Linked DNA regions of Notamacropus eugenii. The protein of the gene in region 2 interacts with the protein of the main gene of each other region in a pairwise test. Links are inferred from orthologs where the notes say so. Each region holds a gene or a part of one and is shown on either strand. Other genes may lie near its edges.

Region 1 (7,771 bases), on a different chromosome or scaffold from region 2:
GGAAAAGAAGCTGAAGGAGGAAGAAGAGGCCGGAGAGGACAAAGATGAGGAGGACAGGGAGGATGAAGAAGAGGACGAGAAGGACGATGAGGAAGATGAGGATGGTGCCCAGCCCAAGGATGAGCTGTAGGGGCCAGGACTGAGGCTGGAAGCACCCTGGGGGGCCAGGCCAGGAGCCAACTAATGTCTCTATGAGACTGGAGAACTGTTTCCAATAGGTGGGGTTGTTTGGGGCTGGGTGGGTTTTTGTTTTTGTTGTTTTTTAAACTGGTGTCGGTTTCATCCACTCTCCCTCAGGTCCCTCTGCCCTCAAGAGCCTCTTGGGAATGGCAGATAGTGGGGGGCACCCTTCAGCCATGGGCTCAGGGGCATGGGGATCCAAGGTGTCACTCTGCATGGATGCTCAGCCTCCCTGTTGACTACCCAGGGATAGAGACTTCCGATACTAAGCTGCCTCCTTTCCCCAACTGGCCTCAAGTCCTGGCTCCTCTGTTTTTACCCCATCCTCAGGAGCCAGAGAGGAGGAGGAGGGGGGTCAGTCAGCCTGGCCCTGCCCTTAGGTATCCCATAGCACTGAGGGGGGCTAGGGTTTGGCCAACAGTGCCTAAGCCAAACTCTTTGCTCCCTTTTTTCCCCTCTGCCTGGGCTGAGGGCAGGGGTGGGGGCAGAGCCCCTGTTGTGGGGGGGAGGGTTAGGGAGGGGTTGTCAGTTCTTGCTTGGTCACATTGAGAATGTAAGAACAACAAAAAAAGAAATTTCTATTAAATTAAGTTTTGTGTCTCCCTCATGTGTTTGATTTCTTGGAGAGGGGAGCAGTGTAAGCTTCTCAGTTTTCTGAACTGCTGCCCAGCCCTAAGCTAGTGGGGTGGAACAGATAGATCCCTGGGGTTCTGGTCAGTGTGAAGTGTCTGTCTAGTGGCTGCTCTGGCCAGAGAAGATGGCCTCTGTGCCTCTGGTCAGCTTCTTTTCCCCACCTGTGCTGTAGGGCTCAGAGTTCCAAACAACAGGAGAGATCCTGGTCCATGGCCTCTCTCCAGGAGCCAAAAGACTGGATTATGAAGGAAAGCTTTTTGGGAGGACCTGTTAACAGTAACTATTCAGTTTTGAGTTTATAAGTAAGATTTAACGTAATAATAACACTGTCAGAACCTTTACCACCTAACTTCTTTCTTCTGGGTAACTTATTTTTTTATTGAGTCTTTAAAATTTTCTTTCCCATCAGTATCACTAGCCACCACTCCCAATACAAAGCTCTCTACCCTCCCTGGTAACAGAGTCAAGGGAAAAAAATTCACATAATAGCAGTGTCTGAAAATGTATATTCATTCTGTACCAGTCTGTCCACTCTTTGAAGGGAAGCCTGCTCCAAGTTTTCTACAGTTATCACTGGTAATTTCATTGATAAAAGTGCTTTTTTCTTTTAGAGTTATTTTTATCATCAGCATATGAATTCTGGCTCTGTACTACTCTGCATTATTACATAAAGTTTCTATTCTTCCCCCCTGAAATTGCAGAAATTGTCATCCCCAAATAATGACCACCCACTTTATTTATATGGGCCCTTTTCCCTCTTGATCACTTAGTGTGGCGTACATAAATCCCAGTGATTGCTGTGTCAGAGTATGTATATAGGGTTTGGTGAGTTGAAATTATCCTAATTTCTTGCCAGAATGACAGGATGAGGACTGGTTTTTATAGTTTGTGTTGTGATCAAGATATTTATGTGTTAGACCATGAAGTTGAGAGCCCTTGATTGTAGCTGTTTCTATCACCAAGGTCTAGCATAGACTGCTTTGTTCATGACAGGCATTAAGTTGCTTGAATAGAGGAAATGAAAGTGGAACTATATTGGGGCTGAGTCCCTGAATGAGGGGCCTAAGGAGGGTGTGGCTGTTGTCAAGATTGGGAAGTTGGGAGAATTTGGTACTGGGCTCCAGCTTGATAACTGGGCCTCAAGCTGTGCAGATTGCTAGCAAATACTAGAGAGAAGAGAGCGCCAGGGACTAGTCAAGTCCAGAGAGAGCCCCAGGAATGATTGATCTGACAGGTGAGGTCTCCAAAGGAGAGCCTAGAAAGGACAACAGCTAACATTTTTATAGTGCTTACTGTGTTCCAGATCCCATTTGGTCCTCACAACAACCCTGGGAGGTAGATGCTATTATCTTCATTTACAGATGGGTTGACTGACACAGATTAAGTGACTTGCTGGACAGAGTCTGAGGTGGGAATCTGAACTTGAGTCTTTATGACTCCATGCCCAGCTCTCTGTTTCCATTGTGTGCCATCTAGATTACCCATCCAAAAGAGGTCAACAAACAAGATAATGAGGATCCTCAAGCCTTAAAAGATTGGGGTAGGAAAGGATGGCTGTTGGGCTTGGGTAAAGAGACAGGTGAGGTGAGGCCTTCAAGGAGAGGACTTATTAAGGTTGAAGTCTTTTGGGCTCAGAACTAAGATCACAGAATGGAAGTTACTTTGTGACAAACAGTCATGTTGGGTGTCTCTTCACTAGGGCTTGTGAGCCATCTGTTAGCGCTGTTAGTAAAGGGATCTCTGCACAGGGATAGATGAAATGGCCTCCAAGCCTCCTTCCGTTATTGTAATGTCATTTGAGGTCCCCCAGAGATCCCAGAGGACCAGCGGAATAAAGATACAAGTCCCTTAACTCATTGTATACCTGCTCTTAAGTTGTATCCTCCCTGAAGTTCAGATCTCTCATTTTGTGTGTTTGAGAAAATTAGTGCTGGTCATAACTGATAGGCTATATCGGCTATTGCCCCTTTGTACTTTCTAGAATCAAGTGTCCCTCCCTTGCCACAACTATTCCCCTATGTCGTCTCTTACTAGAATCTAGCAGGACTAGTATTTATATCCCCGGTACTTAGTACGATGCTTGACGAATGGTATTTGCTTAATAAAATGCTTGTTCATTAATATGTTTACTCAGTGAACTTAGCAAACTGGTGGATGAGAAAGATGAACTAGAATGAAATTTGACTATCATTAAGGCTTACACAGTGGCACAGTGGATAGAATGCCTGGCCTGAAGTTAGGAAGATACATCTTCCTGCGTTCAAATCTGGCCTTACACACTTACTAGACCCTGGGCAAGTCACTTCACCCTGTTTTATCTGCCGAGAAAACCCCAAATACAATATTAAAAGAAAACTCAGCAGCAACAGCTACAGTAGCAATAAGGGCCACAGTGTTCTAGAGGCTGGAAACTCTCAAGCTTACATTCCGCTGGGAATACATGTTCATTTATAAGCAGCGATGCACGGCAGCTATTGAGCCAATCACGCTGATTGTTTACATTTCAGTGTGTGCTTTTATACCTTGAAAATTAGCAAACATGATTTATTGTTTGTTGGTTATACTGTAGACCAGATGTATTGAACACTAAACCTGCAAGCCCACAACACTTCTATAAATAAAAAGATTACAAAACACTGGTAATATTAATATGTGCTTTTCTAAGTCACTATGTGTCCTACGGGGATTCTTATGTACTTCAGTGACCACCATTTCTATTGATATCACTGCTCTAAAATGTGATGAAAATGTTAATAATGCAAATTAAACTTAAAAGGGTGTTGTGCTACCTTTTTTATTTTTGCAGAGTATGTTAAAAATTTACCAGCACATCCCTGCATAAGTAAATATGAGAAATTTCTAGAGATAATTCACAGTGGGGGAGGGGAACAAGAGAGGCTTCCTGTGGAGGTGGTACACCTGAGCTTTGAAGGAAGCCGGGAGTTCTTATCAAGTTGGAAGTGAGAGATATTCCACTGCATTTTCCCCCCAACTACATTTTTTGATATTAAGCTTGTCAATGGAATTCAACAAACGTTGACTACACTGTATAAAATGCTGAACTGGGTCCCAGATGGACAAAAATCTAGCTTGGGAAGTGTGGCGTAACCTGCGAAGCCATCACGTAAGGAGTCCGCACTGGTGGGAGATCTGACCCCACCCTCTGACTCTGAGCTGAGACCTCCCCTACGTGATGACCTCCTAACAGAGGGGACCTCCTGGAGAGCGGCGAGAGGCCGGATGTTGTGTTCGTGTCTGGAGCTTCGCCCAGAGGAGTCGGTGAAAGCCTCAGGACCAAGAGATGCGTAGCACCGGGTGATCCAAGCGAGGCTATTTCCCCAAACAACTGGGATTTTCTTGAAAGCACAGGATATGGACTTTGCTGGGAGGGGACAGGCTGGAAGGTGTAGGGGATGTAGGAATGTAGGGGATGGGGGATGGGGGAAACCTGGCTCCCCCCGCCCTGGAGGTGACAGCACCAGGCTTGTTCTTCTGTTTGCTACCTGTGTGACCTTGGACAAGTCACTGAAGCATTTCTGGGCCTCAATTTCCTCATCTGTAAAAGAAACGGTTGGACTTGTAAAGTCCCTTGCAGCCCTAACTATCACACTATGATCTCCTGGGGCCATTTTGTGACAACATGACGCCACCCAAACAATGACGTCACCATACGAGGAGCCTCTAGTGCGCAAACTCCAGGGGAGAATGGGGGGGCAGAGGTGTGCTGCCCCTGCGACAGCGACAAGGTGGTTCCTCAGTACGCATGACCGGGAGAGAAAATTCCTTTTTTTTCCGTTCATCGACCCCCGTCACGTGATCGGGGTCGCTGCGCTCGCGCCTCTCCCTCCTCGGTCTCGTCACGAGGCGCGCATGACCGGGAAGCAGTTCCCGGCGTGGCTCAGGGCGCTAAGATGGCGGCGGCGTGAGTTGCATGTTCCCGTGTGTCTACTGTCCCGGGGCCGCCGCGTCGGACGGAGTGAGGGACGGACCGGACGGACGGAAGCAGTCGCTGCCGCCGCCCCCCGGCCCAGCCATGGCCGTCACCGTCACCTTGAAGACGCTGCAGCAACAAACGTTTAAGATCCGCATGGAGCCGGGGGAGACGGTGAGGCCGGGACGGGGACGGAGGCCGGGACGGGACAGCACAAGTCCGACTCGCCTTCGCCCTTCTCCCCGCGGGGCGGGCCAGACGCAGCCCCTTCCACCCCCTCCCCCTTGCTGTCATTAGCGGACCTCCCTCCCCTTCCCTGAACCCTCTCCCCCTTCCAGGTCCCCCAAGTCCCCCCTCTCCCCGTTACCACCACGCTCTCCTTCAGCGGTCAGCGCCCACCCTGTCTCTCTGGGCCTTTGGGGGCGGGGATGGGGAGCCACCCCCAGAGCTACTTTTTGGACAAGGGGGAGGCTGCTGGCAGAGCTCTGGTCCTCTGTTGGGGAAGCCCCGGTAGCCCTGGGCGATGAAGGTAAAGATGATGATGATGATGACGACAGCAGTGACTTACTTTGGATAGTGAGCTATAGCTCCCCCCACCCAACAACACTGCCGAGTAGGTAGTGGGGGGAGAACTGTCCCCACAAGTACCGGAGGTACGAGGGGGAGAGGCGAGGGTGACACAGGCAGACAAAGAAGCGCTGGGAGCCCTGCATATCCTGGACCTTTGCTTCAGCTGTGGTACTGACTGCGGGCTGAGGCAGGGAAGGGATTATCCCTCCTTTTACAGACTCCAAGGGCCCTTCTAAATCCCCTGATCTCTAAATCCTCTGCTCATAGGAAAGATGAGGAAACTGAAGCCCAGGAAAAAAGGGACTTGCTTAGGTTCATATAGTGAGCAAGAGCTGGGATGAGAAATTCCAGCTCCTGACTTCTAGCCTGGGCGACTCTCCATATTGGCATCTGTTCCCCTTTCCTCCTGTGGTCCCCAGAGTTCTGAGGACCCAGTCTATAAGACTCTACCCTTCCTTCCCCTCCCCGATCTCTTGACTCTCACTTTGTAACCCTTGGACAAATCCTTTGTGTTTTGGGTCTCAGTTTCCCTATCTGTAAAAGGATGAGGTTGGATTCTTTTTCTAAGGGTCTTTCCTGACCTAAATTCTGTGATTTTCTCCTCAGGTGAAGGTGCTCAAGGAGAAGATTGAGGCAGAAAAGGGTCGTGATGCCTTCCCTGTGTCTGGACAGAAGCTTATCTATGCAGGAAAGATCCTCAGTGACGATGTCCCTATCAGAGACTATAAGATTGATGAGAAAAACTTTGTGGTCGTCATGGTGACTAAGGTAAGGACCAGTAGGCTCCTGGGGTAGAGGAGACTAGAAGATATTCCAACTATGGTGTGTGCCCATCTGTGTCCTAGATAGATTAGGCCTGGTGAGGGTGGGGTCTGGTCCCCCAGCTCTGTTGGAGCTGATAAAAACAAGGCTCTGACCTATCTTCTCTTTGGCCCTCCCAGGCCAAAGCTGGGCTTGCCACTTCGGCACCTCCGGAGCCCTCTGCCCCTGCTGCTGCCAACACCCCGGAGCCCTCCACACCTGCCCCACCAGCTCCCACCATTGTTGCCATGCCCCTACCCCCGCCAGCACCCAGTGAGGAGAAGAAGTCCACAGAAGAGTCAGCTGCTGGGACACCTCCAGAGGCTGGGCCTGGGTAAGGCCTTCCCAGGTTGGGGTTGGGGGACTCATGAGCTCTGGACTTTCCTTTTCTCATGCTTTCCCAGGATCTCTGTATTGGAAAGGGACCTCAGAGGGCATCAATTCCAGTTCCTTCATTTATAAACAAGGCAGCCAAGGCCTAAAAAGGGGTTAAATGACATTCCTTCTGTGTCATTTCTGATCATTTTATCATCCAACCTCTGCTTTAAGACTTCCAGTAACAGGGAACTAAATCCTGAGGCAGCCCATTTCATTCTTGGACATCTCTAAGTTTTTAGAAAATATTCTTTAAATTGAGTCAAAATCTGCCTACCTACAACTTGTACCTTTTCCATTCAGTGCATTGTACAGTGTACTGCAGGTCACTGGCTCTGGTGTCTGAGGATCTGGGTTCAAGTCCTATGGCTTACACTTTATGTTATGTGAACTTGTATACATTACTTAACATTCCCTGGGGCTCAGTTTCCTCATCTGTAAAATGAGAGGGTTGACTAGATGATTTCCAAAGTCCCTTCCAGCTCAAATTAGATGATTTTGCAATCTAAGTTTTACCCTTTGGAGCCCAGCAGGATGAATCTGATCCAAGTCTCACATATATGAGACTGCTCCAATGCATCTCTGGGTTTGTTGTCTTCTGTCCCCACTCCCAGAGATCCAGGGCCCCTAGGATGGCGAGAGAGAGGTGAGCAGCCCTTTGAGGAGCCTGAATCAGAGGGCACAGAGTCTGAATGAAGGAATGGGATCTCAGAGGCCATCTGAATCCAACTGGGTCCTAAGCAAGAATCTTTTCTAACAACACCTCTAATCCATGGTTGCCTGGCTTCTCCTGAAGACTCCTAGTGAAGGGGACCTCACTACCTCCCAAGGCAGCCTCATGCTTCTTTGGGACAGCTCTCCTAGTTAGGAAGATTTTGCTTACATTAAGCCTTAATCTATTTCTTAGCAACTTCCCATTGCTCTTATTTCTGTCCTTAGATCAAGCAGAAGCAGTTCTCCACGGGATAGCCCTTCAGATCTTAACCTGCTCCCTTGTAGCCTCAGATGTTCCCTTTTCTACCCCAAACTTCCTCAGTTCCTTCAGCTCCTCCTCACAGCTTGTTCTCCCATTCTTTTACCATCCTACTTGCCTCTCAGGCGGTTTGATAAGGGCAGAATAGAGCAGAACTTTTGCCTTCTTTGCTTTGAACAGTGTGACTCTCATAGCAGCCTTGGATTGTTCTAACTTTACTTTTTTGGCCGTTTTGTCACATTGCAGAATTGTGTTGTTTGTAGTCTGTGACAACTCCCAGATTATCACCATGGGCGCTGTGCTGTCTA
Region 2 (7,217 bases):
TAGTCTCTTACACCATGAGACCAAGACATGAACAGAGATATGAATAATACAATAATTTTTCTTTTCAAAGTACAGTTCATAAAACTAGCCTTCATTTGGCTTCTTTCAAGTCTCAGCTAAAATCCCACCTTCTGCAAGAAGCCATTTGTATGCCTCCCTAATCTTAATGCCTTGCCTCTGAGTCATCTCCAATTTACCCTGGATATATCAATTACATATAGTTGTTTGCACGTTGTCTCATGTTTCATGTTACCTCCTTGAGAGTGAGGGCTGTCTTTTGTTGGTTTTGCCTTTCTTTGTCTCTGCAGTGCTTATATAGTGCCTAACACATAGAAGGCACTTAATAAATGCTAGCTGATTGACTGAATGATTCTATTTTGTGATATGTTGCTTTGCCTCAACTAAAGGCTAATAATAGTGATGAGGAGGAGGAGGAGGACAGCATGTATATAGTGCCTTAAGGCTTGCAAAGTGATTTACATTCATTAGTCTTTCCCATAAAGCAAGTGTCATCCTCATCTCAGTTACAGGAAATCAAACCCAAAACCTGAATACGAATGAGGCCCAAGTAAACAAAAGATGTGCAGCTAAGAGCAAAGAATCTATAATTTCACACTCACAATGTGCATAAGCAACCCTTTACATGTTACCAGCCCCACTGGTGTGGTGATAAAGTAGTTCTAGGGAAATGCTGCTAAGGCAGAACGTTACAGACAGCACCAAGTACCACAAAAACAACACTGTCACTCAGTGGTAAGTACAGGGTCGCACAGCTTTCCCATGGAACTTGTTTACAATGGAAGCAGTACGGTCCAGGTAAAAAAAGTATTAGATGTAGGGTCAAAAGAGCTGAGTTCAAATCCCATATCTGCCACTTAATATCTGTGTAACTTTGGGCAAGTCATTCACTTCTTTGGGCCCAGTTTCCTCATCTCTTAAACAAGGGGCTCCCTTGTAGGTGAGCCCAAGGATTCCTGCCTGCTCTAAACCTGTGATCCTGCCAAAAATGGGAAAGTTCCTTACTCAGCCCAAGCTTTCCAATGATCTACTTGAGTTACTACATGTACTAGAAGGGACAGGACATTCCTGTACCCAGACTGGCTTTTGAGAATACATTGCCAAATAAGATAACGAAAGTCTTTTTATGCTAAAGGCTAGAGATGTTTTCATTCTAAGCTTTTTGTTTCGGCTTCATAATGTGATTCAGCATAAGCCAAGCAGGAATAATGGTACCTTAGGTATCATCCCCTTTTCTTCCCAAGCTCATTTTCTAAATGAGATGCTAATTTGGACCCTTGCTGGCCCCAGATTCATTTTTATCTTAGAATAGATAGAATTTTCTTCTGACTAACACATGGAATACTCCTTGGGGAGAGAGGAAGGAGGAGTAAGTAATAAAAACAGACATTCATTTTTCACTGATAGTCGAAGCAACTACTATAAAGGCCTTTTAGAAAAACTTAGATAAAGGATGCTGTCAAAGATGCTGTCCTTCAGATGCACTAAGATCCCAAACACTGGAGATACATTTTTATTTTAGACACAGTAATAACATGGGAGATATTGGCTAGTGAAGATGACTGGTCATTTTTTCTTAGCTTCAAACAAGACAGCCCCACCCAGTCTCTTGAATCATGCACAATTAACGTTTCTCAATGAGTACTGGGTTCATCCTGTAATGTTGTCACAAGGGAAATTTGAGGATCTTATTTCACCATTTTTTTCCACAGGGGAGACCAAGACCATGAATATATGCAAACAACAACCCACAATACTCATTTAAAGTAAATGGTTCACGTTGGATCTAATATTCCTATTTCATTCAGAGCTTGGACTTTTCTGGTTGTTGATCTGCCTGTGCATCAAACACAACAGAACTAAATAAACTTTCTGGTACTGAAGGGCATAGTGTGACACAACAGCTATAACACTGGTCCTAGAATCAGAATTTCTTGGATTCTAGTCTCAGCCCTGAGTGACTTTAGGCAAGGCACTTCATCCTTCTGGGCTTCAGTTTCATCATCTCTAAAATCGAGATAAAGATACTTTTACCAGTGCCAAATTGAGAGAGTGGACAGAGGTCCCATTTGGAAGTCAGGAAGACCTGGATTAAATCCTGCCTCTAACAGATACTCTTTGTTTGATCCTGGGCAAGTCACTTACCTTCCTGGTGCCCCAGGTAGTTCTCTAAAGGTGTAAGTCACAGAGCAGTTGCTGATCTCTATACCAATGAAATCACAGGTCTCATCCAAAACAAAAAACAAAAATGCTTTCACTACCTAACTCACAGGATTGTTATGAGGAAAGTACAGTGGAGTCTCAAAGTGCTATAGCAATGTGAGCTATTATTTGATTCTTGACCTCTTCTTGTCCAACTTTAAAGTTGGCAGGCCATGTCCAACACAAGACAAGTGTATATAATCACATGAGGTCCCAGTCATGTTTTCCTCTGCACAATGGCTGACCACCTCCTTCCAAAATAGTTTACTGATGTACTTACGTGACAGCAACACAATTTGATGGGAAGCACTAGACTAGCAGTCACAGAAGACATATATTCTCGTCCCAGCTCTACCACCATGTAGCGCTGTGTGACTGTAAAATGTGTTCCCTTTTATGGCCCCTAATATTTCCCTTTTAGAAATGATTATATCCTAAGTGGCTCTAGCTAGGTAGTACAATGTAGAGCACTATAGGAGTAAGGAAGTCTCATCTTCCTGAGTTCAAATCTGGCCTCAGATACTTACTAGCTATGTGACCCTGGGCAAATCACTTAACCCAATTTGCCTGAATTTTTTCATCTGTAAAATGAGCTGGAGAAGGAAATGGCAAACCACTCTGCCAAGAAAATCTCAAATGGAAGCAGGAAGAGGTGGACGTGACTGAACAACAAACAAGTGGCTCCTAGCTCTGACATTCTATGACTAAGTGCAAGGTATCTGATGACTATTCAAGGTCATCGGATAATTAAGTCTTGAATCAGCAGAAAATTCATTTCTATAATGTACTGAAGACCAAGAGTGGTAATAATGGGTCACATTTTTATAGTCTTTGCAGTATAAAAATCATCCTTCTCATAGCAACCCCGGGAGGTAGGGAGTACTAACAGATAATACTGCTCTGAGCTTTTTACAAGTGATCCACAGAATTTAAGAGCTGGAAGGGACCTCAGTAGCCATCTGGTCCACCCTATACTTAAGGGAAAAAAGGAATCTCCAGTATAGTATACTAGACAAGTAATCATCTAACCTCTGCCCAAAGCCCTCCAAAAGGAGGGGGAGCTCACCTGTCTCTAAGAAGTCCGTTTTACTTCTGGACAGCTCTTATTGTTAGAAGTGTTTCCTGACAGCATTTCTTACACTGGCTTCTTTGTACCTTTTCCTCGTTGCCTTCGCTTTTATTCTTCCGGGTTCAAAAAGAAAAAGCCTACTCTCTCTTTCTAATGATGAAACTTAGATCCAGACAGAGAAAACAACTCCTCCATAACCATCCAGTTAAGAACCACGAGACCCAGGTCGTGCTATTTTGAGTCCAATGTCTTTACCTATACAATGCTTACTCACCCTTAAATGTCCACTGTGAATGTTGATAATGATAAAGCTAACATTTACATAGGACATTTATAAAGTGTGCAAAGCACTTTTCATGTTATTTCATCCTCACAGCAACCGTATAAAGTAGGTACACTTATGTTCCTATTTTACAGATGTGGAAACAAAGATTGAGGGCAGTTAAAATACTTGTCTAGCATCACACAGCTGAAGGCTGAGACAGGATATGAACTCAGTTTTTTCTGACTACAAGTCTACTGTACTACTTAGCTGCCTCTCTGTCCTTGGGAAAATACCATGCTTTTCATTTGCCACTTGAAGGTGCCCAAATAGAAAGGGTTTTCTTTGCTATCTCCTCAGAAAAGGGCATATTAGACACAAAGCAATCTACCTATACTCAAAGTGGTTTTCCTTCTTCCTCAGAAAGTGCCATGTGAGAAGGAGGATGTCTTTTCAGCCCTATAAAGGAGGTGCAGTAGAACTTGGCTAACAGCAAGAGAACTTGGTAGATTGACCAAACAGTACAAGGAAACAAATCAATGCAAACATGGCCTGGGCCAAACAAAATAGTAAAGTGCATAATTTTCCAAATGGGATGATGAACTCTGCAGGAAAATGAAAGGCCAACCTAGCCAAGCCCCCAGGGCTATAGGACTCTCTGCTCAGAGTGCCCTGGGAATGTTTCTCTTAACCTAACCCTTTAAAGGCCCCAGCATCCCCAGAGGATTTCACAAGGATAATCCTATTCTCTCTACACAAGGAAATCTCTAGGCCCAAATAAAGTCATCTGAATGGTCTGATAGGCTTATTCCTGTATCTAGTCTTGGCTTCATTGTATGTAGGCCTTTCTGCCTGTTCTCTCCTCCCCTTGTGAGTTGGGTATGACTGCACCATATTTCCAGGACGTTCTCCATGTTAAGTTTGACATGACCTAGGATGGCCAGAAGTTTTCATTCTACAGTAGAACTGTGGACCATGGATCAGCACCTCACTAAGAATGTTCAGTGTCTAGTGACCACTCATATATTTACACCGAGCAGCAACTCTTGGCCAAATGACCAGACAGTAGGATTCCTTAGCCTACTACAACTAATCTGTATTTACATTCCAAACCCACCCACCCCACCTCCATCATGAGGAAGGCCTGTCCCCACTATCCATGGACCCCACTTCAAATTCCATTACACACGCAAATCCTCCTTCTTCTCCTCTGCTCATAATTTCTACAATTCCAGGTTTCTTTTTAATTTCTTGGGGAACTTGGATTGAATGTACAGAAAGAAAAGGGTTCATCAAGACTTCCCTGTGGGACACAAAATCTCAATTACTACTGGCACAGCTGTGAATTTACTGCTTATAAAAACATTACCAGCTCCATTGAATGACAGTTCAGAGGCAATAACAAAAGCTCAGAAATATCTCCTATGTGGACAGTAATTCAAAATAAATAGACATTTAGTTTACGAACTGATACTGCACATAAAAAAACACACCTCCTCCAGCAAGATGACAGAACCCAGTGAGCTGAGTATAATCACGAATGCCACTGTTTCTAGTGAGGATATTACTCTCCAGAATTGAGATGAAGGGGAAATAATGGGCCATCTATGACCATAATAGGTTGAAACATTATTATGGAAAGGTCCTCTATCCTGGGGAAATCTTTCAAGGATGAAATTTCACATCCCATTTTCTCCAAGCCACTCTGCTACTTTCAAATTCAGTAATGATCCATTTACTGGGCTGAGGATACACCTCAAAGCCTGGATTTCTTCAATTCTTCTTCTTCACCTGAAATGAACTATCACCTTGGGCTAGTTACCTGCCATCTATACCTTTGCAAAAAAGGGAAGCCAGCCACTTCCCAAGGCTTTAGAAGGGTGGAATTAGGGAGGGTGTGTCAAGCATTCTTGATTCTGGAATACAGGGTATGAAAAGGATGAACTACTGACATTCTTCCATTTCTAGGATGTATTCCCCATCCTACTGGATCTTATAGAGAAGTCCCCAATGGGCATTTATGTTTTTATGCTGAGGAATACAGACAGGTTATAAGGTCCCAAACAGGACTGTGATCTTATATAGGTGCAAAAGCTAGACTGCGAGGTAGAAAAATCTCAAACATTTAAAGTTTAATCACTGAAAACTGCTTTCTGTATATCCCTCCAACACCAAAAATTTAGGGTTTCTCTGTCTTATTAAGATCTCTCCTATTAAGATCTCTCCTTTAAAACAACAGGAAAGAGTGCCCGGTTTTTTATATTAAGGAAAATGTTTCTAGCATTGACTCATTTTTTAATAGTAAACCTCACTCCAATTTTTTCTTCCAACAGCCATAAATCTGGCTCTTTCTTTGGCTAGCTATTTAAGCCCATACTGTACTAACCTCTTTGCAGTGACTTGCTGGTTCAAAGTAATTTACCAATAAATCATTTCTAGGCTCCTAGCTAATTCCATAAGGCATACAGTCAATTATGTACTCAGGAGGCTGAGAACAAAATTACTGTACTACCTTCAGGAAAACACATTTATACCTTAAGAGAAGGCAAAGAATCAGGCCACAATGTAAATTTAACCAGTGTGCCCAATTAAAAAGACGGCTTTATTACCCAAGATTTCCTTAATCCTCTAAATAGCCATATTCACCAGAGCCCCAAGAAGACTGCAAAGAGGGTGGAAGAATATAGTGGATCTCACAAGCATTTCTCTTCACCCTGTGTGCCTCCCTATGTCCCTTGTGGAAGCTTTGAAAAGATCATGGGGACAGGACACTAAAACTTGCTTTTTACGCTTCTGTTCTAACATTCTATTGGAATGCTAGCTTGGCGTTAGAGTCATTGGGTTTGAACCCCCGTAACATAATCTCTGGGACTCAAGATTTTTCTGTAAAATGGACTAGACATCTATGACCCTGTGGAATGCTTCTGGAATCACAAAACATGTGCTAGGTGGGGGGCGCCACTGAACTTCAAAGGCTGGAAGAGTTCTATCACTGATCCCTTGTATGATTCGGGACAAACCATTTGACCATTAGGGTTTCAGTTTCCTCACCTGTAAAATGAGGGGTTTGGACTCAATCATCTTTAAGATTCCACTCAGATTTAACATTCGGTGAGCTGCCACAGGGGCTCTGCTACCGGCCATGTAAGGCTCACTTTATAGTGCGTCCTCAGAGAGGGAGCAGGACAGCCCTTTGATTTATTATGAAAAATTGCTATCAGTGTCTTCTGAGTTTATTATGTGCTTTCCATGCTTACCTACTTAATCAACATATTACAGACTCTTGAGTCCTAGAATTTTAGATTCCTCTGAAAACTTGAAAAAGGGAATCCTGGAGCCACCAAGTCCTTAGATGCTGGCATCTTGGAACTTTCAAATCTTGAGATCATAGAATCCTGGAATCTTAGAGTTGGGAGGAGACTTAGATATCTGTCACAGAGCTTCCTTGTCCATCACCTCTGGATAGACGTCTTATTTTACATTCAAGTGTTTTACTGGTTTTCAGAATTAACTCCTCATTTAAACCCTTACACTAAAATAAAATTTAGAATTCACAGTATCTGAATTGAAAAAACCCCTCTTTGATGGAAGCACCATCAAAAGAGAGTCACAGTTGAACATTTTGGCTAAACTCCAAATTAGGCCCAAAGTAAAATATCCTCTTAG

The links.
Region 1: the proteins of ZBTB8A (region 2) and RAD23A interact in binary tests that used the Homo sapiens proteins (3 or more experiments, as listed by UniProt). The two-hybrid records come from large-scale screens. The link is inferred for Notamacropus eugenii from reciprocal best matches to the Homo sapiens genes ZBTB8A and RAD23A.

What each region holds. Positions count from the first base shown.
Region 1 is NC_092875.1:77,924,013-77,931,783, reverse strand, and holds the start of RAD23A (UV excision repair protein RAD23 homolog A), read left to right. Parts: upstream 1-4,681; 5' UTR 4,682-4,744; coding exon 4,745-4,918; intron 4,919-5,920; coding exon 5,921-6,082; intron 6,083-6,255; coding exon 6,256-6,449; intron 6,450-7,771. Other genes in the region: CALR (calreticulin), read left to right, coding at 1-130. UniProt on the Homo sapiens protein: Multiubiquitin chain receptor involved in modulation of proteasomal degradation. Binds to 'Lys-48'-linked polyubiquitin chains in a length-dependent manner and with a lower affinity to 'Lys-63'-linked polyubiquitin chains.
Region 2 is NC_092876.1:77,436,730-77,443,946, forward strand, and holds the start of ZBTB8A (zinc finger and BTB domain-containing protein 8A), read right to left. Parts: upstream 3,035-7,217; 5' UTR 1-3,034. UniProt on the Homo sapiens protein: May be involved in transcriptional regulation.